Linked DNA regions of Diceros bicornis minor. The protein of the gene in region 1 interacts with the protein of each later gene in a biochemical or structural test. Links are inferred from orthologs where the notes say so. Each region holds a gene or a part of one and is shown in the gene's direction. Other genes may lie near its edges.

Region 1 (7,196 bases):
AAATTAGATAACCTAGGAGAAATGGATAAATTCCTAGAAACATACCACCTACCAAGACTGAATAATGAAGAAACAGGAAATCTGAACAGACCAATTACTAATAAAGAGATTGAATCAGTAATCAAAAACCTCCCAGCAATGAAAAGTCCATGATCAGGTGGTTTCACTGATGAATTCTACCAAACATGTAAAGAATTAATACCAATCCTTCTCAAAATCTTCCCAAAAATTGAAGAGGAGGAAACACTTCCAACCTCATTTAATGAAGCCAGCATTACCCTGATACCAAAGCCAGACAAGGGTACTACAAGAAAAGAAAATTATAGTCAATATCTCTGTTGAACATACATGCAAAAATCCTTAACAAAATATTAGCAAACCAAATTCAACAATACATTAAAAGGATCATACACCAGGGTCAAGTGGGATTCATTCCAGGGATGCAAGGATGGTAGAACATATGTGAATCAATAAATGTGATACACCACATTAACAAAATGAAGGATAAAAATCATATGATAATCTCAACAGATGCAGAAAAGGCATTTGACAAAATTCAACATCTTTCATGATAAAAACTCTAAACAAAGTACATCATTGTGTTTCTAGCACAGTGCTGCACATAGTAGGCACTCAATAAATATTTATTGAATAAATTAATGAGATTTTTTTTCCAAGAAGGTTTTTTTAGAATATCAGATCAGTTAGGATGCTTTTGATGCAGCAAACAGAAAATCAAACACAAATTGGTTTATAGTAGAAAGGAAAAGAGGTAGAGGGCTCTTATCACTGACCAGTCTAGGATGAGTCTGGCTTCAGGTGAGGCTTGATCCAGAGCTCAAGCAAGGATCTGATTCTTAATCTTCACTTCTCAACTTTATTCCCTCAGCGTAGGCTCCATTTTCAGGGCGGTTTCTCCTTGTTCAGTACTAGAAACAGAAACCACTGTAAGTATGTCAAGCAGAAAGATTTAGTAGGAAATGAACACATAATTGTTAGAAGGGATGGCAGAATGGAAATCAGGAGACTTCCAGTGTAGCTGCCATCCAAAGTTCAAGACCCTGCCACTGCCACTGCTGCCATCACTGCTGCCACCACAGATGCCCCATACCCTTGGAGAACTGAGAAGGGTAGCTGGAGTCCTGCTCCTGCAAACACCCCTGGGCCTGAGAGCTTGCCTGTCAGCCCGTTCTGTCACAGAAAGATGGCCTTCTCTTCCTTTCTGTCTTCCAAATCTTGCACCACTGCTCATCAGTCATTGGCAGAATTCAAATTATATCTCGAATTTTAACTCCCTAGAAATCTGGAAAATGTGGTTTTAACCTTCCACACATTATAACCCAGGAGATGAGGAGACACAGAAGGGAGTGAGAATGGAAACTAAATAAAAATTAACAGTATCTAATATAGTCCACCCCTTTTACCAATAATCTTTCAAGCAAATGACAAAACTATTCTCCCACCTAATGAAGCTGTTCCCTCCTTCAAATGAAAACATGCTTATCCTATCCCCTAAATCTCGATACTCATTTCTACATGATGTCCCTTCCTCTTCTATTTTAGTCACAATCCCACCTTCAAACACTCTTACCTAAAGACTATCTTATAAAATGAACCACCATCAACAAATCTCATGTAAAAGGAAAGGGAAAAACAATCAAAAGAAGTTCATTAATACATATAAAAACAAAGCAGGAAGAAAAAATGTGTAGGTTCTATGGTCCTTTATTCTTCAACTGGTCATGAGACCATAGTCAGTTATAACTTCCTTATTTATTGTTCCCTTTGCCCTCACACACCTGCCCAGCTGGTAGAGTGACACAAACCTTCAATCCTGAAGCATCTGAGCCCTTAACAGTCTGGCCTGTGTTGGACAGCTGTAGATTTCCACTAACATTTATCATTGAACATGGAATTACTAAAAAGAACCTCAGAGAAACCCCTGGTTTGAAGACATACTCGTCCCTGACAGCACTGTGGCTGCATCACTATTTTCTCTTGGTAATTCGTATCAGTCAGCCCAGCCAGTTTGGTAACCCCCTTATTTTCCTTTTTTTTTTTTAATTATTTATTTATTTATTTATTTCCCCCCCCTCAAAGCCCCAGTAGCTAGTTGTATGTCATAGTTGCACATCCTTCTAGTTGCTGCATGTGGGACACGGCCTCAGCATGGCCGGAGAAGCAGTGTGTCGGTGCGCGCCCGGGATCCGAACCTGGGCCGCCAGCAGCGGAGCACGTGCACTTAACCACTAAGCCACAGGGCTGGCCCAACCCCCTTATTTTCTTGATGGCTTGATGGCATGATGAACCTGCAACATCCAGAAGCAGTTTCACCCACATCATTTTCCCCAGACCTCCGTGTCACCAACCCTCTGATCTTGTTCCTTCCAAATCTCTGAATATCCAGCTAAATTGCTAGCCACTGGTTCTGTCCAAGCCACTGGCTTTCTCTCCTTCCAAGTGACAACTAAATGTACTGCTCAAAGTTTTGCCCACTGGGAGGATTGCCTTTCTCCCACTATCTTTTAGGGCCACCTCCCAGAGGGGCTATAGTAATACATCAATCCACTTCTGATTAATGCCAGTGTATTGTGCTTCATTCAGATTTTTCTTTCTCAATCATCTGGCCACAGGCAACTCCACATGAGTTCACAGATGCGGGCTGATAGAGCAGGAGGGAGTGCCATGGGGATCTTAGATATTGCCATAATCACCACTGAAATCAGGGAGCTTTTTTCAATGGCAGCATCTCCCATAGACATTCCCCACCTACAGTGGCTGCCCAAGGACGCTGATGTTCCCCACTCCAATGTATTTCTCAACGAGTGGTGCAGGAGGGTCCTCTGGATCTTCTTGGGGGACATAGATAGGGAGTGAATGAATAGGTTACACACGATTAAAGATGGCTCTGCCTCCTGCCTGCCTTCCAAACCTCCCACCAGTGCTTCACATTTTGGGAGCTTAAATCATGCCCCAGGACCTGAGTGCTTCAAGGGAAATATAGTTTTTAGCCATTGATACTCTGCAATAGCAGAGAATATAGCAGAGAAGTAGGAAAGGATGCCCAGAGCTAGTGCCCAACAGTTAATGTATAGTTGAGGTCCATCCCGGGACCACCTCTCTCCCTCACCTCAGCTAAGATGTTGAGGGTGCTGACTCCTGGTTCTAAATCTAGCTCTGCCGCTTACTAGCTGTGTTAGTTAACTTCTCTGAGCCTCAGGCCTCAATTTTCTCATCTGTTAAATGGGCATAGTAACAGCACCTACCTTGCAGTATTGTTGTGAGCTAAGTCCTCAGACTCCTCAATCGCTGTGTCAGTGAGCCAGTATTACTGTGGGAGTGTGTCATAGTCCATTAGGTGAGTAGGATTTCTTAAAAACCGAGGACTACTGGTAAAGTCTTTGGTCGTAAACTCCATGAGGTGCCGCAGGGAGCAGGTGGCTTGCGTAACTGCTGGCCTGGGCGGTACTTGGTACAGCGGCTGGCAAGTAACTGGATGGATGGGTGGATACAGATTGAAGAAAGATTATGCCCTCTGGCCTCTTCATCCCCAGCCTTGTCAATGTGACGACAGGGAGGGGTGCTTTGATGTGCAGGGCCCTTCAATGGAATCCTGGCTTTGCCACTTTCCAGAGTCAGGACCCTGGGTGAGATAATTGACTCAGTTTCTGCTACTGTAAAATGGAGCCGATCATATCCACATCCCCAATCCCACCTCAAAGGTTTGCGTTGAAGAGGAAAGGGGATCGTTGATCCCAGAGCCCAGTTCAGCGAGCGAGCGCCTGGGGTGTCCTCCTCACCCTTGCCGGCACAGGGGCCAGTTACAACCCCAGACGCCGGGGTGGGGGCCGCCGGGTCCCGGGCACGTGGGCGCCGAGCCCGCCCCGCGGCCCGGGGCCAGTGCGGGCCTGTGCGGGAGGGGCGGGCGGCCGCAGCGGGAGGCGGAGTCCGCCGGGAAAACGAAACCGAGAGCGAGCGGCGCCGCTCCGGCCGGGCTTCCGCGGACAGCAGCGGCGCGGGTGAGCGGGCGGCAGCGGCGCGGGTGAGCGGGCGGCAGCGGCTGAGCGGGCGGCAGCGGCGCGGGTGAGCGGGCAGCGCCGGGGGCCGAGCGCGCGCCGTCCGCATCCCCAGACGCGTCCTGCGCGCCGGTGAGAGGCCCCCGACCCCCACCCGCAGCGCGCTCCGAGGCCCGCAGCCGAGGTGCAGGGCCCGTCCCGGATCTGGGCACCGGATCGTGCGGGGCAGTGGGAACCGAGAGCCGTTATCGTCCCGCGAAGCATTTTTATCCGAGTAAGTGACGAATAGCCCAGGCCCGGGTTGGGGGCGGGGGGGCTGGTGGAAAACAGATACGCCCTCTAACTTGACAGACAGATGGAAAATATGGAGGCCTGAATTACCCCCAAATTGCCTAAATAATCCCTAGCCAAAAATCTCTGGCCTGAACAGTAGCACTTGTCTCGCCATTCCCGGCCTTAGCCCCCGCCCGTTTCTGTAACCCGGCCCCCCAACACCGCAGCGGCCGGAGCGTTCCTGTAAAGCAGAACAGGACACTCCCCGGCTCACACCTCCCCAATAGCTTGCCATCTCGTCAGAATCCTATAAACGGTTATCGGCCCACAGGCAAGGCTCCTTGCTCCCTCCACTCTGACCACACAGGCCTCATTGCTGTTCTTGGGGTACAGCCAAGCACACTCCTGCCGCTGCGCCTTCGCACTGTCTGTTTCTTCTTCCCGGAAAGCTCTTCCCCCGGATGCCTGCAGGAGCCAGTCCCCCGCTCTAACCTGCGCTTCTTCCAGTGTCGCTTTATCAGAGCAGCCTTCCCTGAACCACCTGCATATAAAAGAAACCCCACCCTTCCCTCGCTGTCCCCGTTGCTCTGCTTTGGTTTTCAGCATGGTACTTAGCACCCTGTAGCATTTTTTATAGGCTTGTCCGTGTTCCTCCACTCGTAAATTCACAAGAGCAGGGTTTTGTTCGCTGGTATAATCCCGGCACCTAGTACATCACAGATGCTCATTAAATATTTATTTAATGAATGGCAATTCATAAATTGTCTTTTGAATTCTGGATTAGTGAGACTTCCTATTGCCTGTGATTTCTTTAGTATAAAGATACCTTGCCAGGTGGAAGCTAAAGGTGCACTCCCTGCTGTCACTCAGGAACCTAGAATCTTGGGCAGGTTATACTCTTGTTCTTCAGTTTGCTTATTTGAACCTGAAGATCCATAACACTCGACCTGTAGTTTATTCATCTCACTAATCAGGTACCGGTGGAATGTGTGTTGTATGCCAAGCATTGTGTAGGCCCTGGAGGGGCTGAGCCCCAGGGGGCTGCAGTCTGGCAGAAGGGATCAAGACTCCCAGCCAAAGTGGCTTCTGGGCATGAGTAAGATGGACATATAACACTTGTTTGTGATTATGGTGATTTCTTTTAGGAACATGGTAACACAGAATTAAAACAAGATTTATTTAAAATAGTTGAAAAGAAACCTACTGTTTCTTTTCTTCCAAACTTGTAAGTACTTTTTCAAACATACCAATTCAGCACCTTATTAGTTTACACATATATTTCACTTAGAGTCAGACTGGCTTGTCATTCTGATGATCAGCAGTTACTTAGAGTTAAAAGTGCTGAGGATTTAGAGCATTCGATAGGTCTTCAGGTTAAATAATTGCTAAGGACTCTTCCATAACTGCTGTTCTGAGATCTGTGACCCCCTCCAATTTGGTGTATGGTCTCATTGTTGTGACTAAACTGAATGACACTTTGGTTCCTGAAAATAATGGTGGTCTACGGAGCCTTATCTGAAACTCTTGGGTCAGGTATGTTCCTGTATTGAGAGATTTTTGGATTTTAGAAAGGCAGGGCAGCATAAATCCTATCTATTATATGATATTCTCAGCAGGATTTGGGGGCAACACTCTATAATAAAACACATTTCTGCAGGGAAGTGTATAGATAGACAACAAAGTATCATAAAGACTCTAAATAGCTCCTGTCAGTTCAGGTCTAGACAGGGGACTACAAACCCACTATAAACAAAATAAACCTCAGTTTATAGTGCTTTTTGGATTTCGAAATTATAGACCAGGAGCACCATTTATTGAAGCCAATGGTGTGGGGGACTCTGCTGGATGCTTTTCATCTGATTTACTCCTTGCAACAACCTGTGAATCACGTTTTCAGGTCACTAATCAAAGGTCCAGAGAGGATTTAGCCCAGGTCTGTGTGGCTCTAAAGCCTGACTCAGTCCACCACACTAGGCAGGAATGTGAAGGCGTTGCCTTTGCTCGGACTCCTGGCACTTCCAGACCCTGCTTCCAGCCACCACTGTTGCTCACCCAACCTCTGCAGCAGCCTCTACATGGTCTCCCTCCTTCTACTCATGCTCTGCTCCCCTTTCCACACCCAGCCCCGCATACTCTGTTCTTTACAAACATCAGTCATCGTTTAAAACATAAACCCAGTCACATCAGCCCTCTGTTTAGATCCCTCCAATAGCTTCCTATTGCAATTGGAGTAACATCCACAGTCCTGACCGTGACCTACAAGGTCTCTGTGCCGTGGCACCTGCCTGCCTTTCTGATTCATGTCCTACCCTTTCCTCCTCGTTACCTGTGCAGCACATCCCCTTGGCCTTTTTGTTATCCTTCCAAATGCTATGCCGGTTCCTGCCTCAGTGTTTCCTCTGCCTAAGATACTCTCCCCCAGATCTTGGTATGATGGACTCGCTCATCATTCAGGCTTGATTTCAGTGTTGCCTCCTAAGAAGGGTTTCCCCTGACCACTGTATCTAAAACCACTTCCCTCATATCTCTGCGCCCACCTACCAATGCACCCTCTATCCTGCACCCCTATTTAATTTCATCCTTCTGGTCATCCTCTCATCCTCTCCTTTGTTTGTTACTGGACGTGGTCATTTTCTTTCTTCCCTCGTTGGAATGCAGGTAGGGACTTGTTCACGTCTGTATACTCAATGTCAGAACAGTGCCTGACATTCGATGAGCATTTATTGAATGAGTGATGAAAGGATGCAAAGAAAACAGCAGATGAAGAAAAGGGAGAAGGTGAGGAGGTTTAAAGTGGAATATTTAATTTTAATGAATCATTTTCTCATTAACCTATGCACTATCTAAGTGTTCAGCGTTTACCACTTGCCACAGGGCGTTGGTAATACAAAGATGAGTAAGACATAG
Region 2 (7,398 bases), on another chromosome or scaffold:
GATCAGGGTACAGCCTAGGTGGGAAAGTATTTAATTCATTGTGCTTTTTATGTATTTTTATTGCTACCTAGTCCCAGTTTTAACGTTAAATCTGTGCCTCTGGGAAGTATTTCTTTTAACTCAAGTACAACATACTACTACACATTCTTTAAAATCGTTTTCTATTAACTATAAAAAGCACTCTCAGATAAGAACTCTGTAAAATCATTTCCTTTTAGAAGGCATCAAATATTCACGGAACTTTATTTTTAAAGGATAAATCAAATAAGACATAGCTTTCATTGTCCCAAACATGCATAATCCATCCTTAATATAAAATGCGCTCAATTGGTAAATCACACATGAAATACAAAGGGAATGCAACTTTACATACGTAGAATGATGGCCAGCTATAGCAATTTAACAGTCAAATTAATACACTGTGTATTAAAAAAAAAAAAACCCAACATCTTAAAGCCAATTATAGTAAACCAAGGGAAATTCTGCCATGGAATGGTTTGACTCAACGCAAAGAATAAGGCACCTGCTATGAATTTACAGTAACTTTCATTTTTAAAGTTACAATAATATAGAATGTTAACTAAGACACTTGTTTCAAAGAGGGAAACAAGCACAAGGGTTGATTTCCTGGGTGAGAACGGCAGGTAACAATGCAGATACTGGCCCAAGGTCAGCTGACTCCTTTTCTATTCCAGAGTAGTCCAGTTCCTCAACATCCTTAACAGCTCCTCTCCCTCACTCCCCACACTCCGGGGTATCAGAGGCTCTCTCTGAGGTGCACACCCTGTGTAGACTAGGTAGCACATTTCCCTTCTGTTCCTCTTAAAATAGCTTATTTTAAAAGAGATATCCTGAGGCAATTAACAAAGCAAACAAGCAGCGTTCTTTCCAATTCATGAATGCACAGCCACCTCTCGGGCTTTCTCCATCACCATATGGCTAAGGATTTGCATGGCCGATGCCTGCAATTTTCAATAGTACCAGAAAACCCAAAACCTGCCTTATTACTCACCCTTACCATTAGTAAAAAGAAAGTTTGATCAATCATAACCTACAAAATCAAACAAAGGGAAGACTAAAGACTGACCCTTATCAGTAAATCCATTCAATTCCAGATGAGTCTGATCTACCTAGTACCCTAACAGAATTCTAATCATAAATCTAGAAAAAGCATTTCCAAACTAAGTCTCACTGTTTAGTAGATGTGCCCTTTTTTGGTATTAAAAGTGCTGTTAACATGCTAACATGTCTTATGGCACACTGGACTCAACAGTATGTCCTGACGAGGCATCCATTTTTAGTAGTATTTTCCCCTAAAATGTTGTCTAGCATAGTAGATCCCTCCTTGATATATTAAAGTAATTCTGGTGAAATCAATGGTGACATAAGCAAAGCTTCCCTGACTCAACTCCACCATGGTAGCTTTCAGCGACACTGAAGTGACTGATGAAGTTACAAAACGCTAAACCAAGCTGTTTTCTTATGGCATCTTAGGTTAGTATATTCCCTCATGCAAAATCCAAGGTAGTGTCATAGAAATAATATCATTAAAACAGATGTTGTAGCTATAAGCATCTCTCTTTAGGCATTTAGAAGCTTTTAAAAATTTTTAGGTGCTCAACATTGTGGGAAAACTAGGCTAACTGTGTAGTTGTTCCATTTATAAGCACTTTATTACAGGACAGTTACATGACCCTATATGGGAGTGTGCTTTCAATTCAAAATATAGTAATAAAGTGCCTAACTATATAAAAACCGTAAGATACCGAATTTTAAATTAAACTAATTGCATCTACACATTAGAGTTAACAAAATCTAGACCCTGTCTACACAGATTTAATCTAATTATCTACATTGTATACTGTTTTAATAACCACATTAAAAAAAACTTACTTTTTACTGACTGAATAAGTAGGGTCCACTACTGTAGCTTAACAATCACATTTTATTGCTTTATTCATGTGGTGCTTTTGCAAGGCACTGTGGTATGGACTAGAAAACTTGGAATGACTCGTGAAGAAACCTTGGAATGACACATGAAGGATGGTATGAAAAGTCATTCTGAGGCAGGATGCTTTACTGAATTGTTTTTTAACCAGGGTATCAAACATCAGGAACGAGTTCAAGTTAAAATTCACAGGAGAATGGAAACATCTTAAGGTCAGTCACTTCACATGCCCATCCTGATACTTTGAATAATCTGGAAAATTGCTGTAAAGAGAAAGAGCAAATATTAAAACATGCTTTGAATAAAACAGGTCTTGCAACTGACAAATATTTATTAAGGTACTTCAAGAATCCAAAAGTACCCTTACGATTACTGGCAAATGATCTGTATTTTCATTGTAGTAAGGAGTGAAAACAGGCCTGCCTGCCTTAATAAAACAATTAAACGTCTGCAAGTTATTTATTTTAAATCTCAGCTTCTCTGAATTTTGTCTACCTGTCCAAGAGAGTTGGCAAATAAGCCATCATTTTAGAAAGAACTTAAAGCATCCAAGCAAACGGGTTTTTCTAGCATAGAATTATTTTGGTTTATCCCTAAATATTAAATGTCCTTTGATGGCCTGGCCTATAATATACACTTGTTTCCTCATTCTCACAAAGCTGAAATTCAGTAATCTTTAGGTTATATAAATTGCTTGGCTCTTGGCCATTTATCAGGAAAGCTTCCAATTGGTAAGTTTAGGAGACAGGCAACATGGACTTCAATATCAACAACGTGCATATTAAGATAATAAAGGAAGAGGAAAGACATCTTGTAATCCATTTGCAGAGACAAGAGTCTATTACTCTAACAGCAAGCTGCCCTGATAACTAATTTTTCCTACCATATGTCAAACGTTTCTTTTATTAATCTAAAAACATTTGTCTCACACATTAAATTGCCAATCAGGTACGTTTCCTCTAGAATGAATCAATTCTTTGCACTAGCTTTAGTCTATAAATATACCCAATTTTGACATAAAGACGTTAGATTCTGGCACATGTAAAATTAAATTCAAACATCCATATGTGCACGATATCCCTCAGCCTCTTTTCTGCAAAGGCATTGATAGTGGGGGTTGCAAAGCATTCCAAATTCTCATTCCATGAGGTATTTTTGTTTTGGTCTAAATGTCTTCCAACTCGACCATTCCTAAGGCCCTGACCTCCTTTTCTGATCTCCTGTGAGCACAAATCAAACTGGGAGAAGTTTCTGGAGCACTGCCCTCTTGTACATATGTGGGACAAGTAATTTGGTTCAGACGGAACAGAATTATGTGGCGCTCCCGGCAGGTGGGTTGAGAACTCTGCGGGGAGGATTCACCACTGATGGGTCACCACGTCATCCCAACCCGTCACCCAACACCCTACCGGCGGGCAGCCCCCAAAACACTTACCAGAACCACAAACAACAAAAATGAAGAGAGCCAATAACCAGGGTCCTACAGACGCCTTCTCTTCGGGAGCATTTCTCTGCAAAAGGGAAAATCCGCAGTTTCAAATGCAAAACACCGCTGGGCCCCCGGGCTCCCGCCGCCGCCCCCGGGCCGGGTCGCCGGGTGCCCTCCCCTGCAGGTCTGCCCGCCCCTCCCGAGCCCCAGCGAGCGGCCGGCTCGCAGCCCGGGCCCCGGGTCGGCCGCTCCGGGAGCAGAGGGACGCGGCCCCGGCCCGGCCTGGGCGCCGCGGAGCGCGCGCCGCTCACCGAGGTCTTGGCGACGTTGCCGCGCTGGGTGATGTTCTTGCTGTGCTTCTCGTTGGCCATCCGGATCCGCTGCTTGGCGACCATCTTCGCGGCGCCGCGCCCGCCCGGCAGCCGGACTCCTCGCGCTCGCCCCGCTCGGCCGCTGCTGCGCTGCGCTCGGCTCCGGGGCCCGCGCCGCCGGGGCAGGAGGCTCTCGGGTGCGCGGTGCGGCCGCGGGCCTGGGCGGAGCGGGGGCCGCCGACCGACCGACGACGCCGACCGGCCGCCGAGCGAGGCTGGCGCGCGGCAGGAGGAGACGGGCCGCCGGGGACCCGCGCCGCCGCCGGGAGCGTGGAGGAAAGAGGAAGGGGACGGGAGCAACAACCGGACGGTGCAGCCCAGCGCCTCGAACTGCTTCGGGTTCGGCTGCCAACGTCAGCACCGGGCGGGCTCCGCCCCGCGGAAGGGCGGGCTGCGCCGGCCCGAGAGGAGGGAGAGGGCGGGCGCACGGGCCCCGGCCCGGCCCGCCCACGCTCTGAGAAGCGTCGCCCCGCCGCTGCGCCTGCGCGGCCCGGCTCCTTTTCCGCGGCGCTCTCCAACCGGAAGTGAATTGGCCCCGAGGCTGGTGGCCCCGGAAACGCCAATTCGCCGTCTCTAAGCGTGAGGAGACGTGTAGGGGACGGGTTCGGCCCTCGTGAACTCTGACCCGAGCGCACGGGTTTCTCTTTCCGGGACAAGATGGCGCCGTCCACGCCGCTTCTGACAGGTAAGTTGTGAATGAGCAAAGGACTGTTTCTTCAGCGCAGTTTCTTTTGTGTCCTTGCCCTTGGGGACTACCCGGGAAGCCTTGGAATCTGATCCGCGCTTTCTCGTGCATTGCGGCGGAGCCGAGGGCCTTCGGGCTTCTCCGTGTAGCGTGGCAGTCGGAAGTGAGGCCCCCTCGGGCTCCCGCATTCCCCCTCCCTTTTGCTCATCCGTCATTCTTCCCGGCCGCTTCCCGGATGGAGGAAGGAGGGTGATGACAGCAAGTGCCAGCTGAATTTGCTACCCTGGGTCTGTAGTACTGGAGTTACACGAACGCTTACCTGGTGACAGGCCTTGTTGAAGTCCTTTAGCTCTGTAGTAAGGAAAAAACAAGCGTATGACCCAGTTCACTAGAATGACCGACCACACGTTAAATACGCGTGAATTTAGGTAATACCAAACTCGGTACTCCTTGTTTAATGAAATTTGTAGGACTTAGTGGAGAGAGTGGAGCTGTGGTAGTGTAGGTTTCAGGTGATCAAAGTGTGTTTTGGGGTGGTAGCAGTGAGCATTATAGAGATAATCTGGCAACGTTTGGTGTTGAAGTGGTTATGAGCCTTATAGAATTAGAAATTAGAGGATTCCTGAGATTTTGAACCTGAGACAGAGTTTATAATGTTGAAGAAGGTGATAAATTTAGGCTTTCACAATGTCAGGGAAGACTGGACTAGGGTAATGGCTGAGTGTCTCATATATGAGTATGAAGTAAGGAGAGGGAAGTTGGGAGGGAAAAGAATAGAAGGCTTCAAGTCACTGATAACTTAACTTATATAGAAGGAAAAAGGAGTCAGTAAGAGAAAGATTGTCCACTTTTGAGGACTGGGGATTATTTCCCCTGAGACTTGGAAGGAAGAACCTTAACAAGCTTTCACACTTTTTGCCATTCTACGTTTTAAGGTCTTTGTTATCAAGCATCATGCCCACTCATATTCAATCCGGCTACCACAGTTCATTCATCAAACATTTATCAAATACTGACTATAATTTGTTAGATAATATGCCAGGCAGATACAGTTTAAAAGTCATAATTACATACTAGATGAGTTTTTTTCTCTAGGTTCATAAAGGTAGCTTGTATCTTATTCATAATTTTGAAACACTAAATGCTTATTTGAAGTCTAACAAAAAAAAATTAGTACATTTTAAAATCTGACTAATTTTCTCCCCTTTAAAAATCCTTACAGTGACTCCTTACAGGGTAGATTCCATCCTGTTTGGCATAGCAGGTGGAACCCTTTATAATCGTTGAATAGCTCTTAATATTCATTTATTTCCTTGCCACCCCATCCTATTTTGTGCTCCATCGATATTGAACTGCTTATAAAGTCCTTGAACAACCTATTTCTTCAGTCTAGGACTGTTGCTCTTGGTTTGGCTAACTTCTTTCATCTTTTAAAATTCATTTCAGACATTATTGGTTTGTGAAGCCTTTCCTCACTCTTCCCAGGTAGTCACTCCCCAGGCTATTTTCATAGCTTGTATATACTTGTTTTTTTTTTTTCCCCCCACTCGTCACATAGGATAACTACCTAGTTGTTTAGATGCTTTTCTCCCCTGCTAGACTGAACTCCTTGATGGCAGAGGTAGGGTCTTATTCATCCCTGCCTTCTCAGTACCAAGTACAGTGCCTGTTAAACAATAAACACTCTAAATGATTAATGGAGGAATAAATTAATGAAAGATAACCACTTCATTCATAGTCAAATTAACCAAGAATGACAATTTTTCTTACAATGCTTAAAATCAAGGACTTTGTAAGCGTTTAAAGGAATCATATAGTCTCAATACACTGCATTAAGCTGTCTCCACATTCTATTCACTGTTTTGCATTCAGTCCCTTCTAATTAAAATGAATTCCTAATTAGAAAGTCATATGTAGAAAAAATTGTTGCAGTTATTGAAAAGATTTTGTTTTGAGTCCATATTTATTTTTGCTTTTTATTAACTTGTAATACAGTTTATGTTTTGTTATGAACCTGATTTTGTGTTCCTTCTAATAAACTTTGTATATCCATTTATTAAAATTTGTGTAAGAAATTGCTCAAACTAATTAAATCCAATAAAGCATCTTAGTGGCTCCAAAATGTCTTGCCATACTTTCTCACAGTTATGCTTCTCTGTAGGGAGATGTGAAATAAAACATTCGTTTAATTTTTTTTTTATTTTATTTATTTATTTTTTTTCCCCCAAAGCCCCAGTAGATAGTTGTATGTCATAGTTGCACATCCTTCTAGTTGCTGTATGTGGGACGCGGCCTCAGCATGGCCGGAGAAGCGGTGCGTCGGTGCGCGCCTGGGATCCGAACCCGGGCCACCAGCAGCAGAGTGCGCGCACTTAACCGCTAAGCCACCGGGCCAGCCCCTAATTTTTTTTTTTGTGAGGAAGATCAGCCCTGAGCTAACATCCATGCCAATTCTCCTCTTTTTGCTGAGGAAGACCGGCTCTGAGCTAACATCTATTGCCAATCCTCCTCCTTTTTCTTTTTCACCTTTTCTCCCCAAAGCCCCAGTAGATAGTTGTATGTCATAGCTGCACATCCTTCTAGTTGCTGTATGTGGGACGCCGCCTCTGCATGGCCAGACAAGCGGTGTGTCGGTGTGCGCCTGGGATCCCAACCCGGGCTGCCAGTAGTGGAGTGCGCGCACTTAACCACTAAGCCACGGGGCCGGCCCCAAAATATTTGTTTTAAATAGTAGTTTATATGTATGGACAAAAGTACAATGACGTCATACAATTTTTATGATGAATTCAACTGATAATTAGTTCCCCTAAAATAGACATAGCTATCGTAAAGGACCAACAGTGTCATCAGTCTTTAAAGTAGCTTTGATGTGTACTTTTGTCTGATGGAATGTGTTTTTAACTTAGTACAGAAATCTTGGTCTATTCAATTTTTGATTTTGATTTAACACTTTTGCCCGTATTCC
Region 3 (7,104 bases), on another chromosome or scaffold:
AAATCCTATATACAACTGCAGCTCTTGAATCTCAACATTTGACAAAATACACATCTCATTAGAAATTGAATACTTTTTAAAAATTCCCATTGCAGCTTTTTAGTAAGAGAAGCCCAATGAGTGTGGTTTACCCGCATGGCTTCCCCACGAATGCCAGCATGCACAGACAGTGAGCATTGTCGTGTGGTTCGAATGCTCTCCATGACCACACACAATACCGCCTTTCTGCTGCTCCTTGACTGACGTATCAAGCTATGGTCAAAATTAATTTTTCTAAAATGAAGAAGAGAGACGTTCACAAGAATCTGTAACATCTAATTACATATAATCAAATACAGTTTTTGCTATCAGGTGTTACTCATGCACAGTCCACCTTAACTAAAAGTAAATCAAGGCAGGCCTAATACAAATCAGAAAGTAAGCTCAAAAGACATTTAATAATCTGCTTTTCCTTTCTATTTTCTTAAAACATGCTTGTTATAGGAGTGTATTGGAGGAGACTCTCTTATATTTGTTGCAAGCAGATTCCTATATTCTTTCAATCCAATAATTTAGCAAATGCGTGCAGAGCCAAAGCCATTTTGTGGAACAATTAAAAATTCTGTTTAAACCAAATGATTGTGGATATCTACCAAAGTTTGCATATATTACTAATTTGTAATATTTCAAACAAATCAAACAAATAAATTACATTAGTAAAATACAACCTGAATGTTTTAAGCATTCTTTGTAATGAAGTTTACGTAATTAAAATATTTAATGAAAACAGTGAAGTATATTAAGGATTATTATACTGACCGTGTAGTGATCTCCTTGAGTAACGTTGATACTTCCACTTCGTGTTTGGTTACTACACCAAACGAAGCTTTTACAGCAATGGAATCTGATCCAGCAACGTTAATCCCAACATCATTCACAATATGGTTGCCTCTCCTTCCGTAGAGTGAGACATCTGATTCATCTTCATAATTCAGTAACTGATAAGACGAAATACCTTTAAGAAAAGGAAATTAATATTTTTTAAATGTCTTGAATTCATCTAACGTAGATTACATATAGTAACACGTTAATTTTCTATTTAAGACTCCATTACTCAAATGTGGAGGAAGGCAACATTTCAAACCAAAATTAAAAATAGCAATTTAATTAATTTGACAACAAAAAGAAATAAATAGCCAGAGTACTTAAAATGAACTCAATTCTATGTTCAGCCAACAGAACTTCTTAGGCATCAAGATCCAATGGGCGGTTGAAAGAACACCAAGTTTTTATAAGAAATAATTTGTCAAAATGTCAATTTATTTTCTAATCCAGCCTCTAATACATTTCACTTTATCAACTGTAATAACTGAATCATAAAAAAATAAATGCAAATTACTTTCATTTCATTTGATCATGTGAGATAGGTAAGAGTAAACAATACCCCATATTATAGATGAAGAATTATATTATGTCATATTCTAAGTTGATTTGGTTAAAACAATTTACAAAATAATTAAAATAAGATTATACAATAATCCTACAAAATAGGTTTGAAAATTATTCAACTAATAAGAGATGTGATACTGTATAAACTTTAGGCATTGTTAATCTTAGTATTATTACTGCCATAGTAATAAAAGTTATTTTTATCAATGAAAATGTGTCAATATTAGGAACATAAGTAGTATATACAATCTATGTTTAGATCACCAATAATATAGCTGAATTAGTCCCTCCCAAACAGACATTTAAACTTACCAGCTGAAATTTCTCTGTCTCCTAGAAGAACATCTTTCAGTGTAAAAGGTGTTGAGGTAAATTTATATCTAGGAAACAGAAAGCATCGCTTTTTTTTTACCACCAGACTTAGAGGTTGGTATTTGTCAGCCTCACTGAGGCTTGGAACAGGAACTAATCTCCCTCCATCTCCAACTTGTTTGACAAAGCTCTTGGTAGCAGCAGCAAACATATTAACATAGTATTAAAACATCATCAACTGCAACCCTCAGATAAGAAATCCATATTTTCAAAGAAAATCAGGCACAAAACTAAGCCTTGCTTGACTTTAAATATAATTATACCTGCTAAAAATACAAAGTATAGTTTCACCAAGTAGTTTACCAGTGTACAATCCACACACACCGCCTCCCCTGGCGTGCTCAGGTAATGAATTATAGATCAACGGTGTAAAATGATATACTAAAAGCAAGTCTAATTTGGAATTGCAGTCTATAGCACTAAAATACACAGAAAACTAATAATTACATTACCAATGTCTTTGATGAGGGTCACAGTTGATAGTGGTTTGCCAGTCTTGAGGGAAGCATATAGCCCTATGGGGAACGATGCAATTTAGGCACTAACATTAGCCCTGGACACCATCTACAGTGGACCTAGTCCAAAGGGAACTCCTTTACAACTCCATCATGCCAATTTTGGCAACAGAAAAGTGCTGTTTGGAATCCTTATGGTATACAGTTCACTGTTTGAGCATTTCATTCATTTTCCCTGTATGCTTACAAAACCAAGTGATTAATATAAAATATAAATTCATAGAATATAAGGAAACAATTGTATGCAGATCTTTGTAAAATACTAAATGAAAGCCGCATTACATAACTGTATACTGACATTTGGGTTTCTTACTCTGAAGCTGGCACATAGACAACATCTCTTTGAAACGGGGTCCTGCTGCATTTATTTTCTTTTTGTTTCATGATTATTATCCCAGTTACTCAACCTTTAAAAAGAGCTATATAAGGTTTTGGCTTGTTTTTAAAGGAATTTTGTGGATAAAAACAAATTTTAGAAACAAACCTGAGTGCTGAAATAATGTATTGCCATAGTTATGTGGATGTTAATATATTTTGAAATAGTGGCTATGTGGTACTTAAAATAAGATATTTGTTAAAACATAACATTAGTGGGTAGTAATCGACATACATACACATATTGAGGGGGTAGGGGGAGGAAGAGAGAATAGGCTTAATTCCAGCCTCAAATAATATAAATCAATTTTACTAGATTCTAGACATTTTTTTCATTTACTTTCAAGCATCCAGGGCTCACGTGCAACCAAAAAAAAAAAAGTTTTTAATAATAGCCCCTCCTGCCAATACCATTGGGCAAAGCAATCTTCCAGAACACCGAGAAAGCACACGAAGTGATTTCTGCAAGTGGCTAGCAAACCCCTAGAAAAGCGATACATCTAATGTCGCTGTCTGACCTCCACCAAAAGTGGTGCATCCCAGGCAAACGCCATTACAACCAACAACACAGGTGTGCAGAAACAACATTTAATTGGAATCAGGTACCATAAGAAGCCTTCGTCTACACGTAATATGTCTTGTAGGGATCCGGTGGCTCAGCATTCTTCTCGCGACCAAAACCTAGAAGACAATGGAGCCCACCTGGCGGGAGAGGAGTGGGGTCTCAGATGTCCTCGCGAGCTCCTAAAGCTCCTGAGGGCCACCGCAGCCCTCAGGAGCGGATATTCCGCCAGTTTCAAGCTTCGGGGCCAGGCCCGGGGAGTGTCTCTAGCAATTTTGCATTTGGAATTTTGAAATCTTTTTCTTAAAGTGACGCAGCCCTCATCCTACGCCCTAACTCCCCCGCCAAAAAAAAAGGTCTAAGCTTCAGGCCTCACACACTGTGAGGCTCGCCCGCCGGACAAGCCTTCTCTCCGGGCAAGAAACGCCCTCCTTTTAAGGACACAGAACTACGGCCTTGCCGGGCCAGGCGCCGATAAGCCGGCGCACCGAAGGGAGGGCCGCGGGCAGGAGCTGAGGACAGCCGGGGCGGGGAGGCCAAGGGGTCTGGAGGGGAGGGCGGGGTCTGGAGGGGAGGGCGGGGCCGGAGCCGGAGAGACCCTGAGCCGGTGGGCGGGGCCGGGCACGGAGAAGGGCCCGCAGCCAGGGCGGCGAGGGGGCGTGGCCGGGAGCCGGGGCGGGCACTGCCACACCGAGGCTCCGCCTCCCCCCCCGCCCGTCCCCTTCGCGAGAGGGACGCAAGCGGGAGGAGAGGAGGAGTGGGAGGAGGGGAGGCGGCGGCGGTGGCGCTGGAGCGCTTCTCTCGGGGACCGGCCGACCGGGGGAGCCAGCACGTCGCCACGCACTGCTCTTCCTCCGGCCGCCGAGCCGTCCCTTCTCGCCATGTCCCAGAGCAGGCATCGCGCCGCGGCCCCACCACTGGAGCGCCAGGACAGCGGGACCTTCAGGTCAGCGCCGGGGCAGTCGAGGCCGAGCCGGCAGGGCCGGGAGTGGTGGGCAAGAGACGCGGGGGCGGGGGAGCCGGCTCTCCAGCGGCATTCTGGGTAAAGCCCCTTCGCGGCGCTTTCGCCCCCGCAGCTGCGGGCGGACCGGCGGGCGCTCGGTCCCGCCCTCTCGGCGGCGCGCGGGCCGGGGTCTGCGGCCGGGCCCCGCCCCTCCTGCGGCCCCGGGCGGTGCGCGGGCTGGGCGGAGGTGGCGCGCGGCCGCCACCCTGAGAAAGGCATTTGTGGGCTTGGTCCTCAGAGGTCGCAGCGCCGGTGCCTGCCCTATTCTGCTACGAATCCCTCCTTCGCGCATTCGAGTTAGCCCCCTAAAGACCTCCCTCGCCCTGCCCGCCGCTGCCCGGTGCCCGCCGCAGCGGGGCAGGGAGGCTGGTGCGCCTCGCCAGCTCGGGCCCTGGCCGCCTGGGACCTTCGGCTCCTCCCGCGTCACCGTGGATAACGATCAGAACTAGCCCCTGTCTGCTTCTGCCTCCCTCTCCGCTTTGGCATGCAAAGCACACCTTTTTCTGGTTTTTGCAGTTTGGGGAAGATGATTACAGCTAAGCCAGGGAAAACACCGATTCAGGTATTACACGAATACGGCATGAAGACCAAGAACATCCCGGTTTATGAATGTGAAAGATCGGATGTGCAAATACACGTGCCCACTTTCACCTTCAGAGTAACCGTTGGTGACATAACCTGCACAGGTCTGTATGCAGTTAACCTAGATGACCAGGCGGGTTGGCGGTCAAGACTTGGTATTGCTTTGCAGTTCGGAAAAGTGCCCTTTTTACCTGAGACAGTGGTGAGGAGCAGCCTCTTGAAACTGAGAGCTCTCATCTCAGGTCATTGGAACTTTCCAAGTTCATCTGATTCTCTCCCTAATTTTCTCTTCCCCAGATACCAAGACAAGCTCAGAAACATACCTTAGGACTCTCCTATGGTTCTTCCTAGAATTAGGGAGAAGCAGGAAAGGTTCTTAGACTCACTAGGCACTTTGGGCCCCTTGCACCACACTCGATTCTGTATCCAAGCAAAATGAGGAAGGCAGAAGGCTCAACTACACTATATTGCATAGCATCTTCTAGTTCCTGATACTATACAGATATTTAATACGTTATCTCTTTTTTATACATGAGGAAACAGGTTCAGAGAGATCATAAGTAATGTGCCCAAAGTCACATAGCATCGAAGTTTCAGAGTTCAAACTCAACTTTATTATGGTCTGTGAACTTGAGCAACTGACAACTGAAGTTGCCCGTTTGTAAATGTAGACATTTTATTTCTTAGGTATCTTATTTAATTGAAACATAAAAAATATTGAATACTAAATTTAATTTGGAATAATGCCAAGAAAAAAATTCAGCAGGAAGGCTGAAGTTCTACCATCTGGTCATCTGAGGCCGTCATTTGTTTGTGTCCCTGAAAAGCTGGAGTCCGCTATTTTCATTGAAGCCACTTTAAGAAAATTTTGAAGCTTTTTTGTTTATATGAGGCAGGTGGATTGTAGGTGCCAGCTGGAAGTTTCCTCATATGAACCATAGAATCAGCATTGCATTAGTGCTTTAGCTGGTCTATTTTTAAGTGTTCAGTGAAAATTCAAGAAAAAGTAGCCTTTTTTCCCTCAGTGTGTTTTAGACTGGAGCCTAACAATCTATGGTAACCATTCTGCCTTGGCCCCCTACCCTTCTCACACTGCCCTGTCTTCCTGTGCAAGCTTATCTGCCTCCACAGCTTCAAATACTATCTAAAGGCCGATAATTCTGAAATCTCTATCTTCAGCCCAGGCCCAGTTACAGAACAGTGTATCAGCCTGTGCTTGCTGGGCATCTTTGTTAGGATGACCTAAAGGCACCTCAGTCTCTCATTGTCCCAAACTGAATCCATCTTCTTTTTTCTCACATCCATTCCCCAACCCAGTAAAGGCACCACCACCACTGATTTTCTCACAGTAGAAATCTGTATTTCATCTTCTTGACTCCTTCTCCTTGTCCAGACTGTCACCATCTCCTACTTCCTAAATATCTCTTGCATCTGTCTGCTTCTCTCGTTTTCCCATTGCTACCGTCTGGGCCACTGTCATCTCCCACTTGGAATATAGCTACAGTCTTGTAGCTGCTCTTTCAGCTTCTAGTCTTGTGATGTCCATTCTCCACAGGACAACCAGAGTGTTCTCTCTGGCGTCCACATCTGTTCATGTACTTTCTCTTCTTAAAATCCAGTCAGTGGTTTCCCATCAACCTCTGGACAAATACAAATTTCTTAACATGACTTACAACCTTGTTTCTCAAAATGTGATCAACAGCAGCCTTGATATCACCTGGGCACATGATGGAAATGCAGAATATCAGGCCCCATGCCAGACCTACTGGATCAGAGTATGCATTTTAACAAAATTCCCAGGCAATTCCTATGCACGTTAAATTTGAGAAACACAAATTTAGGATACTATTCCTTAATCTCTCCCTCTCCCGTCCAACTCTCTCGCCTTTTATCTGAAAATTCCTCCCCTTGGGCTCTTACTGTACCCACCTACTTGGGGCTCTTGAGCACACCCTGCTCTGTGTTGCCTCTGAGCCTTGGCAGGGGTCTTTTCTCTGTCTAGAATGCTCTTCCAAACCCCCAGCTCTCTTCACTCTGCTAGCTTTTACTGATCTTTCAGGTCTCCATTTAGTTACCTCTTCCTTCTTGAAACCTTTCTGAATCCTTCCCAAGAGTCGGGAGCTGCGCCTTTCATGTGCCTCCTACAGCCTGCACTGAGGCCTGTCGTAACACATACTACTCCATGTTTCAGATGCCTGTTTACAGACGAAATCCCTCACGAGGCTATGCGCTCTTTAAGGGCAGGGACTGTGTTTAGTTCTCTGCTG

Evidence for each region.
Region 2: of the proteins of EIF2AK2 (region 1) and EIF2A, one has a biochemical effect on the other in vitro, tested with the Homo sapiens proteins (4 studies listed by BioGRID, with this or other methods). The link is inferred for Diceros bicornis minor from reciprocal best matches to the Homo sapiens genes EIF2AK2 and EIF2A.
Region 3: the proteins of EIF2AK2 (region 1) and PRKRA form a complex in vitro, tested with the Homo sapiens proteins (3 studies listed by BioGRID and IntAct, with this or other methods). The link is inferred for Diceros bicornis minor from reciprocal best matches to the Homo sapiens genes EIF2AK2 and PRKRA.

What each region holds. Positions count from the first base shown.
Region 1 is NC_080751.1:46,995,295-47,002,490, forward strand, and holds the start of EIF2AK2 (interferon-induced, double-stranded RNA-activated protein kinase), read left to right. Parts: upstream 1-4,094; 5' UTR 4,095-4,290; intron 4,291-7,196.
Region 2 is NC_080741.1:4,579,128-4,586,525, reverse strand, and holds the start of EIF2A (eukaryotic translation initiation factor 2A), read left to right. Parts: upstream 1-4,320; 5' UTR 4,321-4,405; coding exon 4,406-4,433; intron 4,434-7,398. Other genes in the region: SERP1 (stress-associated endoplasmic reticulum protein 1), read right to left, coding at 2,171-2,211, 3,384-3,459, 3,689-3,772. UniProt on the Homo sapiens protein: Functions in the early steps of protein synthesis of a small number of specific mRNAs. Acts by directing the binding of methionyl-tRNAi to 40S ribosomal subunits.
Region 3 is NC_080749.1:58,885,518-58,892,621, reverse strand, and holds the start of PRKRA (interferon-inducible double-stranded RNA-dependent protein kinase activator A), read left to right. Parts: upstream 1-4,018; 5' UTR 4,019-4,133; coding exon 4,134-4,198; intron 4,199-4,771; coding exon 4,772-4,941; intron 4,942-7,104. Other genes in the region: PJVK (pejvakin), read right to left, coding at 132-273, 799-994, 1,741-1,951. UniProt on the Homo sapiens protein: Activates EIF2AK2/PKR in the absence of double-stranded RNA (dsRNA), leading to phosphorylation of EIF2S1/EFI2-alpha and inhibition of translation and induction of apoptosis.